Drosophila melanogaster: one gene and its partners. The protein of the gene in region 2 purifies or fractionates together with the protein of the main gene of each other region. This does not show direct contact. Each region holds a gene or a part of one and is shown on either strand. Other genes may lie near its edges.

Region 1 (5,769 bases), on a different chromosome or scaffold from region 2:
ACGAACAAGTACGTCAAGTTCATCTTTCGGCTGCGATTAATTAACTAACTAGGCACACAAATGCTTAATGAGTAATAAACTTTTTAGCATTTAGAACAATGCTGGTGTAGGCGAATACTTTATGCGGCTGGCCAGCCGCTTTCAGTTGTATAAAACTATGTAATTTAATTGCACTTTACTTCGGAGTGGTTGATTAGGTTTCCGGCATCACGATGCGTTCTGTTTGCTCGCTGTTTTCATTTAAAATTCCTCATATCTAAAGATTTTCTTGTGGCCTGAAGAAAAAATTGAGAAGTATGCAAGAACCCTCTATGGCGTTGCCACCTCGTCAAAGCAAACAGCTGTTTTACGTTGATCCCTGGGTTAAATCAGAGTTGTCAACTTTATTATAATTTTTGGCGGGATATTTAAAGCTGACAGATGAAATTGGAAATTAACTTTTTTTAATTCATTAGCTGTAGTTTAAGTTTGAAAAGGTAATCACACATATACTCCCAAACATCATTTATCAAAAAGACATCGCTATTTTTATGGGGCAAAAATTTTTGCATTTATTCAAAGATTTCATACACATATAGCAAATTTGATCAGCATTAGCAACAAATTGGGTGCGATTTCGTCTCTTTCTCAATCTTCAGCAGTACGGACTACATCCACTTAAGTTTACCAATGGATTTTCGTTATTTGCACGCAAGCTCTGATCGTAACACAAATATTTAGTACTAAATAAATTTGGAATTGGCTTTTCAACGGATTAGGGAACGCCATCTAACCACGGAACTCAACGCCTAGAGAAGAAATAAAAGCGTAAAACAAATGTATATTCACTTTAACCGCAATGCATGATTTTCTAATGTTTTTACTAAGTATTAGAAACATTTGGGAATGACATCGGGTGGACCATCCAATGTGGTTTAGTCTTTAAACGTACACTTAGATTGATAGTTATATAAACGAATGCAGCAAGCCCTTGGATCTTCGATCCTCCGTGGCTTTAAATTTAAACAAGTCATGCAATTTGATGGTGTCTCCAAGGCAAATACAAATAGATGCATATAATATGTGCTCCCATTGGCAAATTTTTGACGCGCAGATTTTAGTTATATTAAGTATTATATAAACCGTATCGACACAGGTGTACATATGATTTCTGGTTAAATTAATTCTGATCCTGTTGTTAGTGCGCAGACACGACAATTCGCTTTAGTTAAATAAGTTAATAGAGTGGGTGCGTGGGTCTGTTTGTATGTAGTATAGGTTGCTCCACATTATCGACGCGCTTGGCCTTGCAGTTGCCCCGAAATCTATTTCGGGAGTGAGTCTGTGGGTGAATTCAGACCCGAGGATGTGTTATTCTCGTCCAGGGCATCTGGGAAACTGGACACCGAACCCGAGCGGGATGTCACCTTGGTCTACAATAGAACAGAAAACCGAACAGATTGTAGTAGAGGTGCAGTAGCATTTGCGCAAGGAGTAGTTCGTTGTGTAAGCAAGCAAATCAACCGAAGTATCCCAATTCAGAGTGCGTTTATAGTGGGTGAGCAAGTGTGAAAGATGTGTGGTTAGTGTTAGTTAGTTGGTTAGTTAGTGGCTAGTTAGTTAGACGGGAACCAAAACAGAATCGCAACAGTATGAGAGATGTGTAAAGACAGATATATAATAAAATAGTAGTTACCGCATGAGATTGGCACATAAAATTGTTGTGTTCATAGCTTACTTTAACGTTCTCGTAGGCAGAGCCCACCGAAGCCTCGATAGAACGCATCGATTCGGAGTTTTTCATTTGCGACAGTTTCGACGAAATGCCACTGGTGATGCTGCCAAACACCGAGGCGGTCTTCTCGCCCGTGGACTTTAGCACCGACTCAGTGCGTTGGTATCTAGGGGAGAGTACAAATAAATCCAACATTAGTTACTCATCTCGATAGTTTTCCTCCATACACAAAGTGGGCAAACATAGGTGCGCTTTAGTTACAAACAGGCGAGAGTTGGTTATTGTGTTAAAGGAAGTGGCGTGAAACACGGCGTTAGTCCGGTAACTCCAAAAGTACCCAATTAAAAATCAGCCTGAACCCAATTACTTACAGTGGTGCCTCGTACACCGTTTTAGTAAACGTGCCCACGCTCTGCTCCACCGATTGGTAACTAAATAAATACACGTTATAGCGTTTCAACAGGAGTTTGAAACAAAAAGCATGGTTAGAAATTAAAACTGTCTAGTCGGGTTAATTGCCCAGCAGAACTGCGAACGGTTCATAGACTTACACAGTGCTCTCCTTGAGGTTCTTAAGGCCCTGGTTCACGTCGTCCGTCACCTCCTTCCAGACGGTGATGCCCAGCTTGCGCTTGAGATCGGAGGCATGGCGCGTCTTGGAGGCTAGGACAGTTCGCAGCGTATTGATCTCTTCCTCAACGCGGGCGAGCTCCTGGAAATTGAAGTAGAAGTTAGCGTTCGAGCTGAGTAATCAAATTATGATCGTAAAACTGAAAACTTCCTTACCTGACTCCACTCAGCCCGACGCTGCTCCTTCTCCTCGACGGAAAGCGCAGCGAACTCGGCGGCAATTTCTGCGGATGCCACAGAATTAGCTGGAGATGCTGGCTCCGACAGGTTGGCTGTATTATCTGAACATGAAATAAAAAGCCATTAAATATATGCCAATCCAAGGGAACATTAAAACTTGGGGTGCTGTGTGGGGACTGTAGCTTAATTTCAATGTTGTCGGCGGGTAGTGTTTAAGTACCTCCTTTGAAAGCAACTTCCTCAAAGACTTTGTCATAGGCTGAATACACCGAATTTAGTTGTATATACGAGTATGTACAATTTGCAAAGACATGAGTTGGTTAATTGGTTAGATCTGGGTTTTTGTTAATACTCACAAACTGACGAGGCGAAAGGCAGGCAAAGGAGAAAGAAACAGAGAAGTTAGTCTGGTTAGTCATGGTTGAAAGTGGAAAAGCGAATGCCACAGAACAAAGACCCGACCTAAGCCCACCAACCCCCCTCCCCACTGACCGAATTTGGTACCTCTACTTCTATGCCCAATGTTGAGGAATCTCTTGTAGTTATCACTGTTTGATATTTTGGCCAGATACGGTTTGGAGAAGTCTATGAACGTGACCTTAACGTCGCGCATGGTTCGCTTGGCAAAGAACTTCAAGCGGAAGCGTTTGGCCATCGAAGACGATGGCGCTTGATTGGCCAACTTGGCGGCAATGAAGTCCGCCTCCACTGCCTGCAATTCCAGGCTGTTGGTGTAGTCCGAATCCACATCGTAGAATATCTGGTCTAGCGTCAGATTACGCAAATATAGCTCAGCCTCGCTCTCCTCCTGCCCATCGCCATACCAGTCCAAGACGGCATCATTGGTTTCCAGATCCAGTGACGGTGTGCTGGTGAGATCATCAATGCTTGGCAGATAGGGGTCTTCAATGAACTCCAGGCTATTCGGTTCCGATTCGCTCATTCTGTGGCAATAGCGGCGCTCTCTTTCATCTTTGGCAGCAACTTTCTATTTTGAACGTGGCAGCTGCTGGCGCAGGAGGCTCATATTGTCTTGGCCCAATCCTAAGCACATATCACGTTTCCACGGTCAGCAGCGAGCACATTTTTCTTGGCCCTGCTTTCAGCCACTTCGATCGTTCTTTGCTGAGCTTTCAGTTCTTGGCCCGCCGCGTTCCACATAAATTCCTCTCCCCATGCGATCGCAGCTGGTTTGTGGTGGTTCTTCTGTTTCTGTTTCGATTTCAGTTTCGTTTTCGCTTTCGATTCTGGGCCTGCTCCATCCACGCTCGTCTACAGCCAAATGCCAACTGACTCGATCTCGGCTTAGAAATTGGTAGATGTGGATTGGTTGGCCGCTTGGCTCCGCTTGTTGATGATTCGTGTCAGCACGAAGACGAGAAATGCCACAAGAAGAGCGCTAAACAAAAGGGGCAGCAACAGGCAGCAGCAGCAGTAGCAACCAGCAAGACTACAGTAGAGCTTGACTAAAAGTTACAGCTACGTAAATACATTAGCTCTATAGTAACCAACTTTACACTTCATTTAATTTATAAATTAATAAGCATGGGAAAGTTATAAAGCTAATAATATTTGCATAAATAATAAGTACGCTTTGATAAGACACTAGATATACATATATGTGTCTAATTTAATTGCAGCTAAAATGATTATTTTATCAGTCAAAAAGCTTTGATAAACCGAGACTTCAATTTATTAATTGAATAATATTCTTCTTTAATTGTACCTTTTAAATTTATTAAGTAAACAATTGTGAGGAGATGAACAACTTTAAAAATTGAAAAACCCTATGATAAGGAACTTTAAATATAACTATAAATAAAGTTTTTCTTTGCAAAAACGTACTGTACATAACTGTATCGCTTTGTTGGAGCCAAACAAAAAAAGGAAAATAATTCATAATTTAGCTTCTTGCTAAATAGCAATTACCAGTTTGGATTTTTCCGATTTTTCCCAGCTTCCTCCGACCATCAAGCACTGTATGAGCACAAAGCCACTGTGCCACATTGATGGACCCTATATCTACACTATATATATATATATATATATATGTGAGCTAGTTCTGGTTTGCTGCGAGTTCTTGCTGCTCAGAAGTGCCTGTTGTTGTGGCAGGCCCAATCCCATCGAGAAGTCAACAAGTGGAAGCCAATTACTAAGTGGTTTCGGTGGGGGAACAGAGCTCCGAACAATTATAGTGGCACCATGGTGATAAGCTCAGTGGGAGGAGGCGTTTTCAGATGATATGCATATCATAGCCGCCCTGCGGATGTTGCGCTTCTAAAAGCCACGTATGCATGGACGTCGGAAACCGAGAATGCAATACTTACACCACAAAGAACCTGACCCCCGCCCACCAAACGGATTGCCATCGATGGCATGTCGCAGAACTTCCACGGTAATCCGAATAGTTGGAAAGCCTTTCACCCTACGCAAATCGGAACCATGACTCATCTGCTGATTCCCAGCGCACCAAGGTTAACTCATTGTGTATTCTAAGTCCCCCAAAACTTTTGGCAAAGCCGCTGCTGAATCAGAGTCCTACAATAGTAATGATACCCGAATTACCCGAAAGGTCTTAGGTGTCCCAATCGCCCAGGTCACAAGAGCCCACGGAAACATGTGCCGCTGCATTGGAATTGCAATGATGCACTGCGTCCGTATGCCACACACTTACGGTCCTCCATTACGGCGTTGTCTCCGGAAGTCTGCGGCAATTTTGTTAACTATTTCGATGCCAACTGCACGCACTTGTCGCAAAACTTTCAAGTTGAAAATAATTTTTTGTTTCGCTTGCTTAGCTATCGATGGTTGCTAAAATAAATCGAAGGAATGTCACTATCGATAGCAGCTTTCGGTCAAAAATTCCATCTCTCGTGCACATAACTACACACAAAAAATTCACAAAATCGCTTAAGTAAATACGTAATGCGTAATAAACGTTCAAACAACAGAAATGGGTCAAATTTTACTCACTAAAAGCTCCAATCTTCGTTATCGATTGTAATTAAACTTGTTGCAGCTCGGTGAGAAACTAAGTTAGTTATCGACGCTGTGACACCACTACCTAGAGCTGCCAGATCGCGCCTTTATTCAAACAGAAAAGTTTCGGTTTAAAACTTTTGTATTTCAAAAGAAATAAGACATACGGTTGTATCTGCTATATCTGGGTTGAAAATTATAGTTAGAAATCGAATTGTTAATGAAAATATTTTGTTTTGCAGACAGCAATTGCCATTTGGCCGTCG
Region 2 (5,460 bases):
TTTACGTACGCAGCTGATCCGCCTTTTTCGCCGGAGGTTTGGCTGTTGTCCAGTCTATATGTAGTACTACTCCTAGCACCAAAAGCAAGCCCGTCAAAAAGTATTGGTTCATTTTGTGTTTCCTTGCGATCTCCTTGAAGCTCTGGCAGTGGTCACTGGCTTTCGGCTTCTGGTGGCTGCCCAGTTGTTCGATTTTCTTTTATAGCAACGTCTGGCATGGCCAAAAGCCGACTAATTCTCTGTTCTGCCGCATGTGCAATTTCCCGTGACATTGCAATCCTCAGCAAGTTTCATTTCAATTGACCAAGCCAAGCTATATACAGCTGTTTATTCAGAAATTAAGCGGTCTGTCTATATATATATATACATACATATATATATGTCATAAAATTATATAATCTACTGTGGATTGAATATATAGCAAGTATTGATATAGTAACATACACATCTGGAAATCAGATCAAATGCAAGTGCACTATTTCACGATACCGCGAACATAAATTAAGTCGTGTAAACACTTGGGTTTTCCAGTGAAAAAGCGTAGCTAGTAAAAAATAAGGTTTGTCATTTATTTCAATGTTCGTAACACATATTTCTAAACAAAAAAAAAAACGTTTCCAAATGAGAACATTAAAGATTCTATGAAACTAATAAAGCTAATTAATTGGATAAGCGGGCAATAACAAAAAATCGAAATACACATTTGTATGATTTCGAATGGAGAAATATTTATGCGGTTTGATTGAAATCAAATTAAAATGTATGGTCGACCAGAATGCACACTAATAGTGATCAATTTTCATTTCATTAACAAGTCTGTAACCCAAATGATTTATTAGTAAATTTTTAACAGTTTTCTGTATTAACTTACATGTTGTTAATCCTTTCTGCCTCTTCGATAGCGTTTATCGTGCGTAGAGAGTCAAATGGATCCGAGCTGGGTGAGCCAGAGCTTATAGCTAGGCGGTCCATCGCTGCGCTTAGCTCAAGCTTCGGAGGTGGTGTGCTTGAGGCTGACATCAACATCTGCAAGTTAATCTGAAATATCTCCTTCTTGATGTCGCAAAATTGTTGTAGAAGGACCGGGATGGACTCCTTGGTCTTAAAATATAAGTAATGCATGTGATCGATAGACTTGGGCAGATGTCTAGCCTCGCCCTCGTTATATAACTTGAAACGAGATTTTGCGAATTCCTCGGCGTCATTATTTAACTCTGATGGCGAAATTATCGCACCATTGCAGAGATATTTCTTATAAAATCGAGCGCTAAGAATTAAAAAATAAAAACGCTGCATTATACATATTGGTCTGGTCATTTGATATAAAAACCTTACCAATCGAATAGGTCTTTCTCGCAAACTTCTTTCCGTAGTTGATTGGTGGTTTTAACCATGTCCTTGGCTTCCCGCAAGCAGGCTTCCAAGAAAGACCTAATTGATTTTGCGCTTTGTATAATGAAATTATAATTGCGGTTAAGCTTCTCCCACTGTGCACTGCTGATAAGCTGGAAAAAAACACTGAATTACTACGGGATTAAGGAGTATAGTAAGAACTGCTACCTGGCGGGACGGAATCTTTGCTTGGGCTTCTTTTAGCAAGCTTGTTAGCTGATCATAGGCAAAGGAGATTATGATACGCTGCTTATCGATGCTGTCTATAAACGAGTTTTCCATCATTTCGTCTTCCAACGACAACGCTCGCTCGTTTATTCCTGACACGAGCATTTCGTATCTTGCTTGCTCTTTGGTTAGCACGTAGAGCATATCCAAGACAACACGTTTTTGCAGCCATCTTTCCTTCGTCTTAAATTTGTTAGCGATAAACTTTCGAGAAAGAATTGATAGAATGGGTTCAGGTATTTTGTAGTCACACTCTTTCTTGACCTGAAAGATGTACAACATCACAGGTGGATTGCTGCGCTTAGTCCACTTTCGTGAATCTTTGCTTGTGTCACTCCACTCCTCCACATACAGCTGCAAGGGCGTACTTTTAGGCGTAATCGTTTTGTGCGGATGGGAAGTGGGCAGCACGAAGTACAGTTCCTTTTCGTCCATTCCAGTGTCCAGGACAATCAACGCAATTAGATCCTTCATAGTCATCTCCGCAGAGACCGCATACTCAAGTCGTTCGCAGTTGTTAACAGCAAAAATAGTTAGCACATTCATATTGAGTATTTTGTCCAGGTCAGCGAAGACGACTGGAACGTTATTAGCTGCTAGTTGACCGCGTTCCTTGTAGTTTGAGTTTAACGGGCTTGCCAGCCATTTGGTGAACTGAGCAGCCCAGGGCCGCGACAGATGGTGCGTCTGTGGCAGTTCAAACTGATTCACGAAACGAGTGTTATCCTCCGGATCCTCTGTGATAGCAATGCATTTGGCGGGCTTTTTTATCAGATTGAGTATAATGTTTTTAAGGGTTTGATGGGGGATGAAGGGCAGCTCACCAGTGACCAGCTCATAGGCAATTACTCCGAAGGACCATAAATCCACGGTCGAGTTGTAAAAACCATTTTCCACCACTTCTGGGGCATAGTAATGTCGGGTGCCCACCACGCTCTGCACCATGGTCTGGTCGGGAGTTCCTCGGGCGAGTCCAAAATCGGTTAGCTTATAGATTTTTTTGCCATCAACTCCACGTTGGATTACTATATTGTCCGGCTTCAAATCGCGGTGGCAAATCCCACACTGCGAGTGCAGAAAATGTAGGGCCTTACGTAGGGCTCCCAGTATCTGCCGCACCTCGAACTCCGTCAGACCATTAGCATTCTCCGGGCTCTGCAGACGCTTCCTCACGTCTCCACCGTTACAGTATTCCAGCACAATAACAGGCAACTTGGCACTAAACATGCCATTCAGGTACTCCAAAAAGTCCGGATCCTCGATGTCCACGCCAGCCACAATATGGGGAAAGTTTTTAAACTGACGAGACCAGTTCAGCTCCTTGTTCCAACGCTCGCTGAGCTTGACTTGCTGATCGGCACTCAGGGCCCCCATCTCCTTTATGTGCTTGGTGGCTATGTGGAAAATAAATAAACACTTAAGACTGACGCTTAAAATATCTGCCATATCGGCTAACTCAGCCGAAAGGCTATAAGCGACATATCTAATGCGGAGACCACACCAAACGCGCAAAACTCGAGCCCTCTATCACTATCAGTGGACCACCCGGAAACGCATGCCTCAGCTCGGTTTCTGGGAATTGTTGGACAACAAACATGTTCATATGTATATGTATGTTGTTTTTATGGTTTTATTATTTGGATATATACAAAATACAACAAAAAATTTATTTATTTATGAGTAAGGCTGGAAAGGGGGAGGGTGTTTGGGGGCTGGTAATGTGTGTTTGCGAAAAAGAAAATCCTTAAAATATTTATATGTATATGTATATTAGTGTTAGCCCATAAGGTGTTTATAGCTCACCAATTTCACGGCCCGTTGTTCGGTTTCGCCAATGGATCACTAGGCCGAATCCGCCCTCTCCCAGATTCCGGCACCGCTCCCAGTTCCCAAAAGAGTGCATCTTGTTGTTTTCGTTAAGCTTTATTTTATTTACGGAGCTCATTCTTCCAAGAATCTGAATCCCTCCATGGCAATCGGAAAAGCAAAACACCACAGTGATCATACAAGATTTGCGATATTCGATTGCTTATACACTAGTCATCGTTCAGCAGCAATCGCGGTCACGAGAATTTTGTTTAGAGGAGCGCTCAGCTGCAGCCACTTTCAATTGGGATGCATACCTTTAAATAAACTGGACGAATTGGGATACCCAAAAACGTTTTTAATTGAAGCTTAGAAATGGTGGCTTAAAATGTCAACTGCTACTGAAGTCACCCTTCGGTCACTATTTGCTTCACTCGCCTCAATTTTTATCGATTAAGTTATCGCAACGAAGTGACATCGCTAATCAAACAGGTTGTAAACAAAACGCTGAAAAATAACTTTAGTTTAGTGAAAATAGTAATACTCCTGCATGCTTGAGCTAAGATGCGTTTCCACATGAAGAGCGGCAGCGAGGACAATGACATTGTGGCGGCCACAGCCACTGCCGAGCATATCCGCAAGTTTGTCTTCAGCGGATCACCCGCCGAGCGACTGGAGATCAAAATACCTGAGGTAATCCTTAGAACCAGGTGTTCGTGTAGTATCTAAAGTGTCCGCCTACAGCTGCTTCAGGGTGCCTACTCCTTCTACACATGGCCTTGCGCACCAATTTTAGCCCACTTCCTGTGGGAGCGCCGACAGACACTGGCGGGCAAGCGCATCCTGGAGCTGGGAAGCGGCACCGCCCTGCCCGGCATTCTGGCGGCCAAATGCCGCGCCCAAGTGGTACTTACTGACAACTGCATTCTGCCCAAGTCACTGGCCCATATCCGAAAGTCCTGCCTGGCCAATCAACTGCAGCCGGGCGTTGATATCGATGTGGTGGGCCTGAGTTGGGGCCTGCTGCTGAACAGCGTGTTCCGACTGCCGCCTCTGGACCTTATCATTGCAGCAGACTGCTTCTACGATCCCAGCGTGTTCGAGGATATCGTGGTCACAGTTGCTTTTCTGCTGGAGCGAAATGCCGGGGCCAAATTTATATTTACATACCAGGAGCGGAGCGCCGACTGGTCCATAGAGGCGCTGCTCAAGAAGTGGAAGCTGCAGGCTTTACCCATCAGCATGGAGGACATTGGCAAGGAGTCGGGAGTGGATCTGCTGGAGTTTATGGGCGGACACACTATTCATCTTCTGGAGATCACGCGCATCGAAAGCGATGGCTCAATAAATACAACATAACAATTATACAATTGGCTTTTTTTATGCTGAATGTCAAATCTCTCTTAGTTAATGTTCTACACGGGAATGCTCCCAAACATCAAATAAATATTTGCCTGTGGTAATCGCTTGAAATCAATGTTGGCCAAATATTTGGAAATATATGTTTAAAATTTAGCGCGTACCTATCAAAGTTTTCCACCCAGCACACTAATTCTAGGTTTTAGGGGATGCTAGAGTTGTGAGTAGCGGTCACACTGGCGCAACGACGCTGTTGGAAAACTGCGAAAATTATTATTTATTTACCTACCGCGAAACCAAGTAAATTCCGCTGCACAAAAGAGGCTCGAAGTGCTGGAAACGTAGTTAAGTTATTGTTCATTGTTGCTACATTACTTGGCATCCCGGAAAGACCCCGTCGGTGTGTCTTTGTCGAATAAGTGTGCGTGCTTCTGTGTTGTGCCGTGTGTAAGTGTTGGTACGTCGTCGCCTGCGAAAAATCGAAGTTATTGCATTGCGCAGCCCTTTCAAGCCGCTGTCCCTGGCCAGCTGTAAGTCCCGCAGCTCCTCGCCCAGTCCCCGCTCTACGGCGGTACTTGGATCACAATTCTGATGGTGAGTGTGCTAGTGCGTGTACCGGAATGCACTCGGATGCATCGCGATTTTGTTCCAGGGCGTCGCAATTTGTTTGTCGCT
Region 3 (4,688 bases), 6.4 Mb from region 2:
GCCGCCCAGCATGACGGACTGCTTGAGCGACTGCTCCAACTGGACCACTCTCCGCTTTAAACGCTCATTTTCCGCCTTGGCTTCCTGCAATCAGGGTCAGTAAGTGGGTGCAGCCCGTGGAGACGAGTAACTAACCTCAAAGTCTTTGCGGAGCGCTCCGATCCGTTTGCGAGACTCCTCTAGTAGTGCCTGTTTTTCGCTTTCCAACGTGAAAACCATGTCCAGCAGTTCGTTCTGCGGCTGCTCCGGCTGACGCACTTCCTCCTGCCCATTTGCTGTTATATTGTTGTTTAGGTCACCGCCAACAGCTTCATCTTCGTTATGATCGGCCATTTTATGAAGAATTCTTTTTAAATGATAAAAATTCGTAGAGCAATGTGCGTTTTCCGTGCTTTTTGGGATGTGTTTTCTTTTTGTATTAATAGACCAAATAGATGCACGCTCTATTTATAGGACATCCCACTCTCCGGATCGCTCTCTGCCTGCTCTTGGCCAGATCGCTCTCCCGAAATAACAAACTGTTTCCCTCCAATTTAGTTTACGCCTCAGCATATTCTGAAGATCAGTTTATTATACATTGAAGCATGGATGAGAAAGGATTGCGGATGTGCGGTGTTAATACAGATCGCGAAGGGCAACACAATTAAATTGTTGTTACAATCAATGGGGCGACAATTGAAAGTGAGTGATTTGATTAAAATTAAATGCCTAAACAAGATAGAAGAAATGTGCTTCGCTCGCGGTGAAGAATGTCTAACCGTCCAGCTCGCCGGCAGCGCATGCATCGGCGTAACTCTTGCCGCTCTTGTCCTCCGGATTCAGCTTGATCATGTCGTCAATACGCAAAATGGTAATGGCGGCCTCCGTGGCGAACTTCAGCGACTTGATCTTGGACATGGCGGGCTCCAAAACTCCAGCCTTCTTGTTGTCCCTTACCACTCCCTCGATCAGATCCAGACCGGTCCACTTAAGATCCGAACGCTCGGGCTTCGTCTGGCTGGAGTTGTGGTAGGAGCGGAGCTTGGCCACTAGATCAGTGGCATCCTTGGCCGCGTTCACGGACAGAGTCTTGGGAATGACCAGCAGCGACTTTGCGAATTCGGCAATGGCCAGCTGTTCGCGGGAAGCCAGCGAGGTGGCAAAGTTCTCCAGGTAGATCGACAAAGCAGCCTCCACACAGCCGCCGCCGGCTACAACCTTCTTGCTCTCCAGCACACGCTTCACCACGCACAGAGCGTCGTGGACGGAGCGCTCCATCTCATCACAGTAGAAGTCATTGGGACCACGCAAGATAATGGATGCGGCAGCACTAAAAAGGCATAGGGATACGATAAAGCAAACTATGTTACTGCATGATATAATCTGCACTTACCGTGCCTTAGTGCCCTTGATGAGGATAAGTTCATCATCGCAGATGCGCTCCTGGGCCACCTCTGCGGCCTCTCCCACCATTGAGGCATCGAAGCTCTCCTCACCGTCCATGTTGGTCAGCGAGGTAATAAAGGCGGCGCCGGTAGCCTTAGCAATGATCTTCAGATCGCTCTTCTTCACACGACGCACAGCCATGGCTCCAGCCTCAACGAAGTACTTCATGCACAAATCATCAACGCCGCCGCTAACCAGTACTACATTGACACCGGTTCCGAGGATCATGTTGATGCGCTCCTTGGTAATGTCCAGCTCACGGGCACGAATAGCCTCCAGCTTGTCGGGATCATTGATCAAGACCTGGACACCCATCTTCATCTTGGTCTTCTGCAGCGAGAAGTCTAGGCAGGCAATCTTGGCGTTCACAATCTTCTTGGGCATCTGCTGGGAGGCAATTGTGCAGTTCAAGGCATAGCCGGGAATCAGCACCGATTCCCTGGCAGACTTGCCATGGGCCTTCAGGACATTGATGGCTTTAATCGAATAGGCTGCCTGCCCACGGGGATCTGTGATTTTCACCGACTGGGCAGCGTCCACAACCATGGCTGAGAAGAACTCTGCGTCAGCACCAATGATCTTGGAGCTCATCGAGGTCTTGGCAATGTTAATCAGGGAATCGCGGCCCAGCTCATCAACGGGAGCGGTCAGATGCTCCGAGATGTACTTGCAGGCCTCCTTGCAGGCAATGCGGTAGCCGGAGATTATGGAGGTAGGATGAATCTTCTGCTTGACCAGCTCGTCGGCGTTTTTCAGCAGCTCAGCGGCCAGGATAACCACCGAGGTAGTGCCATCGCCGACCTCCTCGTCCTGCAGCTGAGCCAGCTCAACCAGGACCCTTAAAATTTAGAAATGAGTACTTCTTTGAAAGATTTCCCACATCAACAACTCACTTGGCTGCCGGGTGCTCCACCTCCAGCAGTCGCAGAATGGTGGCTCCATCGTTGGTCACTGTGACATCGCCGATGTCGTCCACCAGCATCTTGTCCAGACCCACGGGTCCCAAGGAGCTTTTCACGATGTTCGATATGGACAGAGCGGCCATAACTGAAAGCATATAAAAGCCGAGTTGTAGTCATAACCTCACTTCGCATAGGCTTGTCCACAGGATCTTGTAGCTCCTTGGATTCAATGAGTTTTTTTGTTAATCCAATTAAAATAAGATCGCCCTCCCCCGGGTTGGTTCCGGAACATTCTTCGTGGAGAGCGTGACCCGCGATGAGTAAGAAACGTGCTCCGCCGGCAGACGCACCGCAGATGTTGACAAAACCCCGGGATTCTCACCGTTCTGTGTGCGCACCGATGCGCCGGATTGGCGGGTGCCAGCAATGGACAGAGGAGAGGCCAGGGTCGACATTTTCCTAAGTTCTTCCGCGACTTTTAATAAAAAACAGATAAATCAAATACGCTGAAAAACCGCACGTTAAACCGCCTGACTCACTTTAAGACTTCGAGATGAACAAAAACCCGATGTCGATTCGATACTATCGAGTGCAAGATTTTTTCTTGGAGAGCAAGGATTCCATAACATTTATAAGTTTATACTATGTGTTACATTAGCGCAGCATCAAAAATATATAGAACATATATTGGCTTATTTATTATTAGGCATATTTTGCAGCACATTCAAAGCGGCGTTCAAAGTATCGATGGTAATCGATAACCGATTGTTTAGGGAACCCTGGTTGAGCATCAGGTAACGGTTTTTTAAATATTAATTCAAGATTATTATTAATTATTAATTATTAATTATAAAATTGTGCTTTCTGATGGAGTAAAAGTATTCAGTAGGCATTGACTTTGATTTCGCATTACATATCGTGTGCTCTGTAAGATATTTTCAGTTTACCTCTTGATCTCAACGATATACAGCCCAAATCGAAGCATTTCTTACATCTACAACAAATTGTTAAAGTAAACATTTTTTTTAACTTTTATTTATTACGATAAAGATGTCAGACTGCGGAGCGCGCCCCAAAAAACCCATGAGCGCCTTCATGTTGTGGATGAATTCCACCGGGCGGAAGCACATAAAAGCGGAGCATCCCGATTTTAGTGTCCAAGAAGTGTCTGTGAAGGGCGGAGAGATGTGGCGAGCCATGGCCGATGAGGACAAGATCGTGTGGCAGGAGTCGGCCACCACGGCAATGGCCGAGTACAAGGAGAAGTTGAAGCAGTGGAATTTCCCCAAGGAGCACCGCTTTTCGGACACGCAATGTATTTGTTCCTCAAATACTAACCAATGCCCCACCCTTTTTGTGTACGACACCATGGATGACTCGATGACTCCGATCTGCAGGAAGTGCTTATCAAAGACCAGGTGCCTTCACTAAGCGTTTACTACATTTGTTAATTTATTGTTGTACTAAAATCCACAAGCTAATATAAATTTGTTTTTGATAAATTTAAATATTAACACTTTTCGTAGCATACATACAGAAGCGCACCATCAGCCGAAAATGCTTGGCTGTACTCTCCAAGTTTTCCATGTCCTATCTCGCGGGTCTTGGACCAGTATGGCCAACAAAAATCTGTGAAAGCACTTTGCTGGCGGCTTGTTAAAAAAGAGGGAAAACGAATGAAAAACTCGCTAGCCATCAGCGTTTCAACGGTTTGGGGTCCTTTTTTCATAGTTACCTTATTGAATTTTAAAGATCGCACAAAGTATGCCGTGTTACATGCATAATGAGTTACTATAGTGGCTATGGCCTACGAATACGAACGGCTGGGAAAGTGAAAACGTGATTGCATGGCAGGAACATAAATTAAAACTTTGCCTTTTAACTCAATTAACAATGTGGTGTGCGCAGAAAAAAAAGGGAAAACAGTGAAAGTTATTTACTATTTTTAATGGAAAGTTATTTGTAATTACCTACTCAAACTGGCACTAATTAGCGCGAGTTTTTAACTTTTCTTACTTTCACAAAGTTCGCGGAATTAATCCAGGCTATACAGTATTTTTCAGCAGCACATTCAAAGCCACCTTACAGATATTGCTGGAAACCGATAACCGATTGTTTTGGAAGCCCTGGTTGAAAATCATGGTAACGCTTTTTTAAATACTAAATATTGGTGCCTTAAAAATATGCCCTATAATAAATTAAAACTATTCAGTAGGCATTGACTTTGATTTCGCATTACTTATCATGTGCTCTGTAAGATATTTTTAGTTTCGTCTGGATCTCAACGATATTCAGTCCAAATCGTAGAATTTCTTACATCTACTACAAATTTTCCAATTAAATTTTTAAAGTAAACATTTT
Region 4 (2,875 bases), 3.3 Mb from region 2:
CAATTGCAGCGCATTGGAACAAAATCGAAGAGTCCGAAGTGACGCAGGACCTCCGCAACAGCACCAAGCAGGTGTGCTACGGAATCGTCTACGGCATGGGCATGCGGTCCCTGGCCGAGTCGTTAAACTGCAGTGAGCAGGAGGCGCGGATGATATCCGATCAGTTTCACCAGGCGTACAAGGGTATTCGCGATTACACCACGAGGGTGGTCAATTTCGCACGCAGCAAGGGATTTGTTGAGACCATTACTGGACGGCGACGGTATTTGGAAAATATCAACAGTGATGTGGAGCATCTAAAAAGTATGTGTCTTCCAAAACCGATTGTGATCTCCATTTGAACATCCCTCCTTTCTCCCTTTCTCACAGATCAGGCCGAGCGCCAGGCCGTTAACTCCACCATCCAAGGATCGGCTGCGGATATTGCGAAGAACGCTATTCTGAAGATGGAAAAGAACATTGAACGTTATCGCGAAAAGCTGGCATTGGGTGACAATTCAGTTGACCTGGTAATGCACCTACATGACGAACTCATTTTCGAGGTGCCAACGGGAAAGGCCAAAAAAATAGCCAAAGTCCTTAGCCTCACCATGGAGAACTGCGTGAAACTCAGCGTGCCACTCAAGGTGAAGCTGAGGATCGGACGCAGTTGGGGTGAATTTAAGGAAGTTAGCGTGTAGTTTATTATATCATTTTATAGATTTGTAATCAATTTGTTTAAAGACTGAATGTTTTAGGACTGCTTGGCCTGCCACTCCGTCCATGATCCGGCATAAGCCTTGGCGCTGCAATTGATTAATAAATAATTGTACATATCTTTTAAAACGTACTTCAACATGAGACTCACTTGGTGAAGCCCAGCGTGCTGGCCAGATTGGCCGCCCGGGCAGCGCGTCCTCCCGCCTTGCACGAGAAGATCAAGACCGCATCGACGGCCGGCTTGACGCGTCCATAAGTCTGGGCGAAGTCCTCCTCCGGCAAGTTCAGTGCCTTCTCCAGCTCGCTCACTGGAAATTAGAAAAAGGCGTGTCCATTAAGCCGGTAATCCCTGGACTTTGGCGCTTCTCACGTGGAATGTTTATGCTGGCGGGCAGGACGCCCGTCTCCTTCAGCTCCGACTCGTTGCGCACATCGAACAGGTACTTCTCCGGGTGGTTTGGAATGTCCTTGACTTCCTCGTAGGTGGCCATATTTATTTTTAATGGTAATTCTTAAAGAACTTAGTTGAACTCAAAAGTTAGCCCGGTTTGAGGTGTGACCACAGATCGAATGATTAAATATACCAGCAGTTCAGAAAAATATACCGAAATCAGTTAGTTTCGAAAAGTTTAAAATTTGAAAGTTTACTGAAAAGTAACTGATTCTCTTTTGAAACGTTTTTCAAGCCATAGCTACTTTGTTGATTAAAGAAAAATCAACTTGAAATATAAGCTACCATAACAATGAACCCCCATTCACATTCCAAACAAACACTTCCAAAATAGTTTCATTTTATTCTTTTATACAATTTAAAAATCAGATTAGTTTCACATTTAATATTATTTAATATTCAAGAATTCACTAATTACAAAATAGTCGAAGCACAGGCAGTAAATTGCACGTTTCTCTTTCAAGTGGCCTGCCTTGCGGGAGCATTTCAAACAATTAATAATATTTCAAAATAAATACAGGAAATACATGCCGTAACCCACGATTCCGTCGATTGTAAATTTGTAGTATAACAAAAATACATTTATTGTGTATCAAAAGTGGTACGATTGCAAATTAATGGCCCTTCAAGCTGCACATCGACATTAACCTAGATATTGTATACAGTTTAACTCATGCTTTTTTCATTGGCATTGAACAATTGTTTATCCACACTTCACTTTCCTTAAGTCAACAATGACAATTAGGCGCTTAACACACACTCCTTGTCTTATTCCACTAGGCTGCTACTCTACATCCTGCTTTACAATCGATTATCCAAAAATATGCTATATGCTTGTGTAAATTCTACGAATTTATGATTGATATCTCATACGGTCGGTCATACGGTGATACGGTGTGTGTTTTAATACCCAGCGCATTAATGGCGCGTTCACAACGAGTATAGTACATATAAAAGGGCAGTCGCCTGCACTGTGTGGCTAAAAGTCAAAAGAATCGAACATAGTGCATCCTAGGAGTTGGTCTCTATGCGACATCTGTGTACGGCTGTGTTTTTTTTTTTTTTTTGGGAATTGTGAGGCTGTGTGATCGGGTGTGCGTATGCGTATGCTACAGGACACTAGTCATAGCGCTTCGACGGCGGTACTAAGTGCTCCGGCAGCACGGTGGGCAGCTCGCAGCCTTCCAGCTTGACGTTGATTAAGTGCAAGGCCAGCGCGAACTCGTCAGAGTCCAGGAACCCATCGCCGTCGACGTCCGACAGTTTCCAGATCTTGCTGAGCACCGAGTTGGGCAGTTTCGATTTGATGAGTTCCTGCTTGGCAGCTGCAAGTGGCGAAGAATGGGATTATTGTTTTCGATTTTCCCCTTGAGTTATAACAAACTTACTTGCACCGGATATCTTGCCATCGACTGGTCCCAGCCCATTGAAGATGCCATCTGTGCGCGGCTTGTCCTTGTTGCAGATCCACTCGTGCTCTCCGTAGCCGGCATCGATGCCCTCGCCCTTCATGTAGCCGAATGGTGAGACATGGTCGTCGATGACTCCCTCGAAGGCACCACCTGTGGAAGAGGCGATGAATGGATGGAGAGGTCAGTGTGGCATTCGATACTCTGTGTGCGCCATAAATTTGCATTAATTAAGCATGTAATCTAAGTTGATCGGTGCGTCGCCGTGCACAAACATTCAATTTGAGGCAATTAAAACCTTTAGATCGCTCTGGCT

The links.
Region 1: the proteins of IKKbeta (region 2) and CG5174 purify together in Drosophila melanogaster (affinity purification with mass spectrometry, with the first as the bait; one large-scale study listed by BioGRID). This does not show direct contact.
Region 3: the proteins of IKKbeta (region 2) and CCT1 purify together in Drosophila melanogaster (affinity purification with mass spectrometry, with the first as the bait; one large-scale study listed by BioGRID). This does not show direct contact.
Region 4: the proteins of IKKbeta (region 2) and CG12279 purify together in Drosophila melanogaster (affinity purification with mass spectrometry, with the first as the bait; one large-scale study listed by BioGRID). This does not show direct contact.

What each region holds. Positions count from the first base shown.
Region 1 is NT_033778.4:18,420,983-18,426,751, reverse strand, and holds CG5174 (uncharacterized protein), read right to left. Parts: upstream 3,821-5,769; 5' UTR 3,468-3,820; coding exon 3,017-3,467; intron 2,884-3,016; coding exon of another isoform or gene 2,881-2,883; intron 2,784-2,880; coding exon of another isoform or gene 2,745-2,783; intron 2,626-2,744; coding exon 2,501-2,625; intron 2,427-2,500; coding exon 2,266-2,426; intron 2,146-2,265; coding exon 2,086-2,145; intron 1,881-2,085; coding exon 1,676-1,880; intron 1,413-1,675; coding exon 1,305-1,412; 3' UTR 789-1,304; coding exon of another isoform or gene 747-788; 3' UTR 531-746; downstream 1-530. Other genes in the region: PIG-O (phosphatidylinositol glycan anchor biosynthesis class O), read right to left, coding at 1-23.
Region 2 is NT_033777.3:16,045,798-16,051,257, forward strand, and holds IKKbeta (I-kappaB kinase beta), read right to left. Parts: upstream 3,625-5,460; 5' UTR 3,524-3,624; coding exon 3,424-3,523; intron 3,364-3,423; exon of another isoform or gene 3,234-3,363; intron 3,015-3,233; coding exon 1,561-3,014; intron 1,506-1,560; coding exon 1,336-1,505; intron 1,268-1,335; coding exon 872-1,267; intron 817-871; coding exon 783-816; 3' UTR 550-782; downstream 1-549. Other genes in the region: Jhbp5 (juvenile hormone binding protein 5), read right to left, coding at 10-112; CG5013 (uncharacterized protein), read left to right, coding at 3,991-4,119, 4,171-4,785.
Region 3 is NT_033777.3:22,488,550-22,493,237, forward strand, and holds CCT1 (chaperonin containing TCP1 subunit 1), read right to left. Parts: upstream 2,891-4,688; 5' UTR 2,867-2,890; exon of another isoform or gene 2,803-2,866; 5' UTR 2,783-2,802; coding exon 2,710-2,782; intron 2,473-2,709; coding exon 2,319-2,472; intron 2,264-2,318; coding exon 1,373-2,263; intron 1,310-1,372; coding exon 754-1,309; 3' UTR 556-753; downstream 1-555. Other genes in the region: CG5376 (uncharacterized protein), read right to left, coding at 1-84, 136-333; tHMG1 (testis-enriched HMG-box-containing protein 1), read left to right, coding at 3,378-3,758; tHMG2 (testis-enriched HMG-box-containing protein 2), read left to right, coding at 4,467-4,469. UniProt on the Drosophila melanogaster protein: Molecular chaperone; assists the folding of proteins upon ATP hydrolysis. Known to play a role, in vitro, in the folding of actin and tubulin.
Region 4 is NT_033777.3:12,703,476-12,706,350, reverse strand, and holds CG12279 (uncharacterized protein), read right to left. Parts: upstream 1,258-2,875; 5' UTR 1,191-1,257; coding exon 1,070-1,190; intron 1,008-1,069; coding exon 848-1,007; intron 829-847; exon of another isoform or gene 786-828; coding exon 734-785; 3' UTR 681-733; downstream 1-680. Other genes in the region: PolQ (DNA polymerase theta), read left to right, coding at 1-303, 370-680; Past1 (putative achaete scute target 1), read right to left, coding at 2,270-2,475, 2,539-2,712.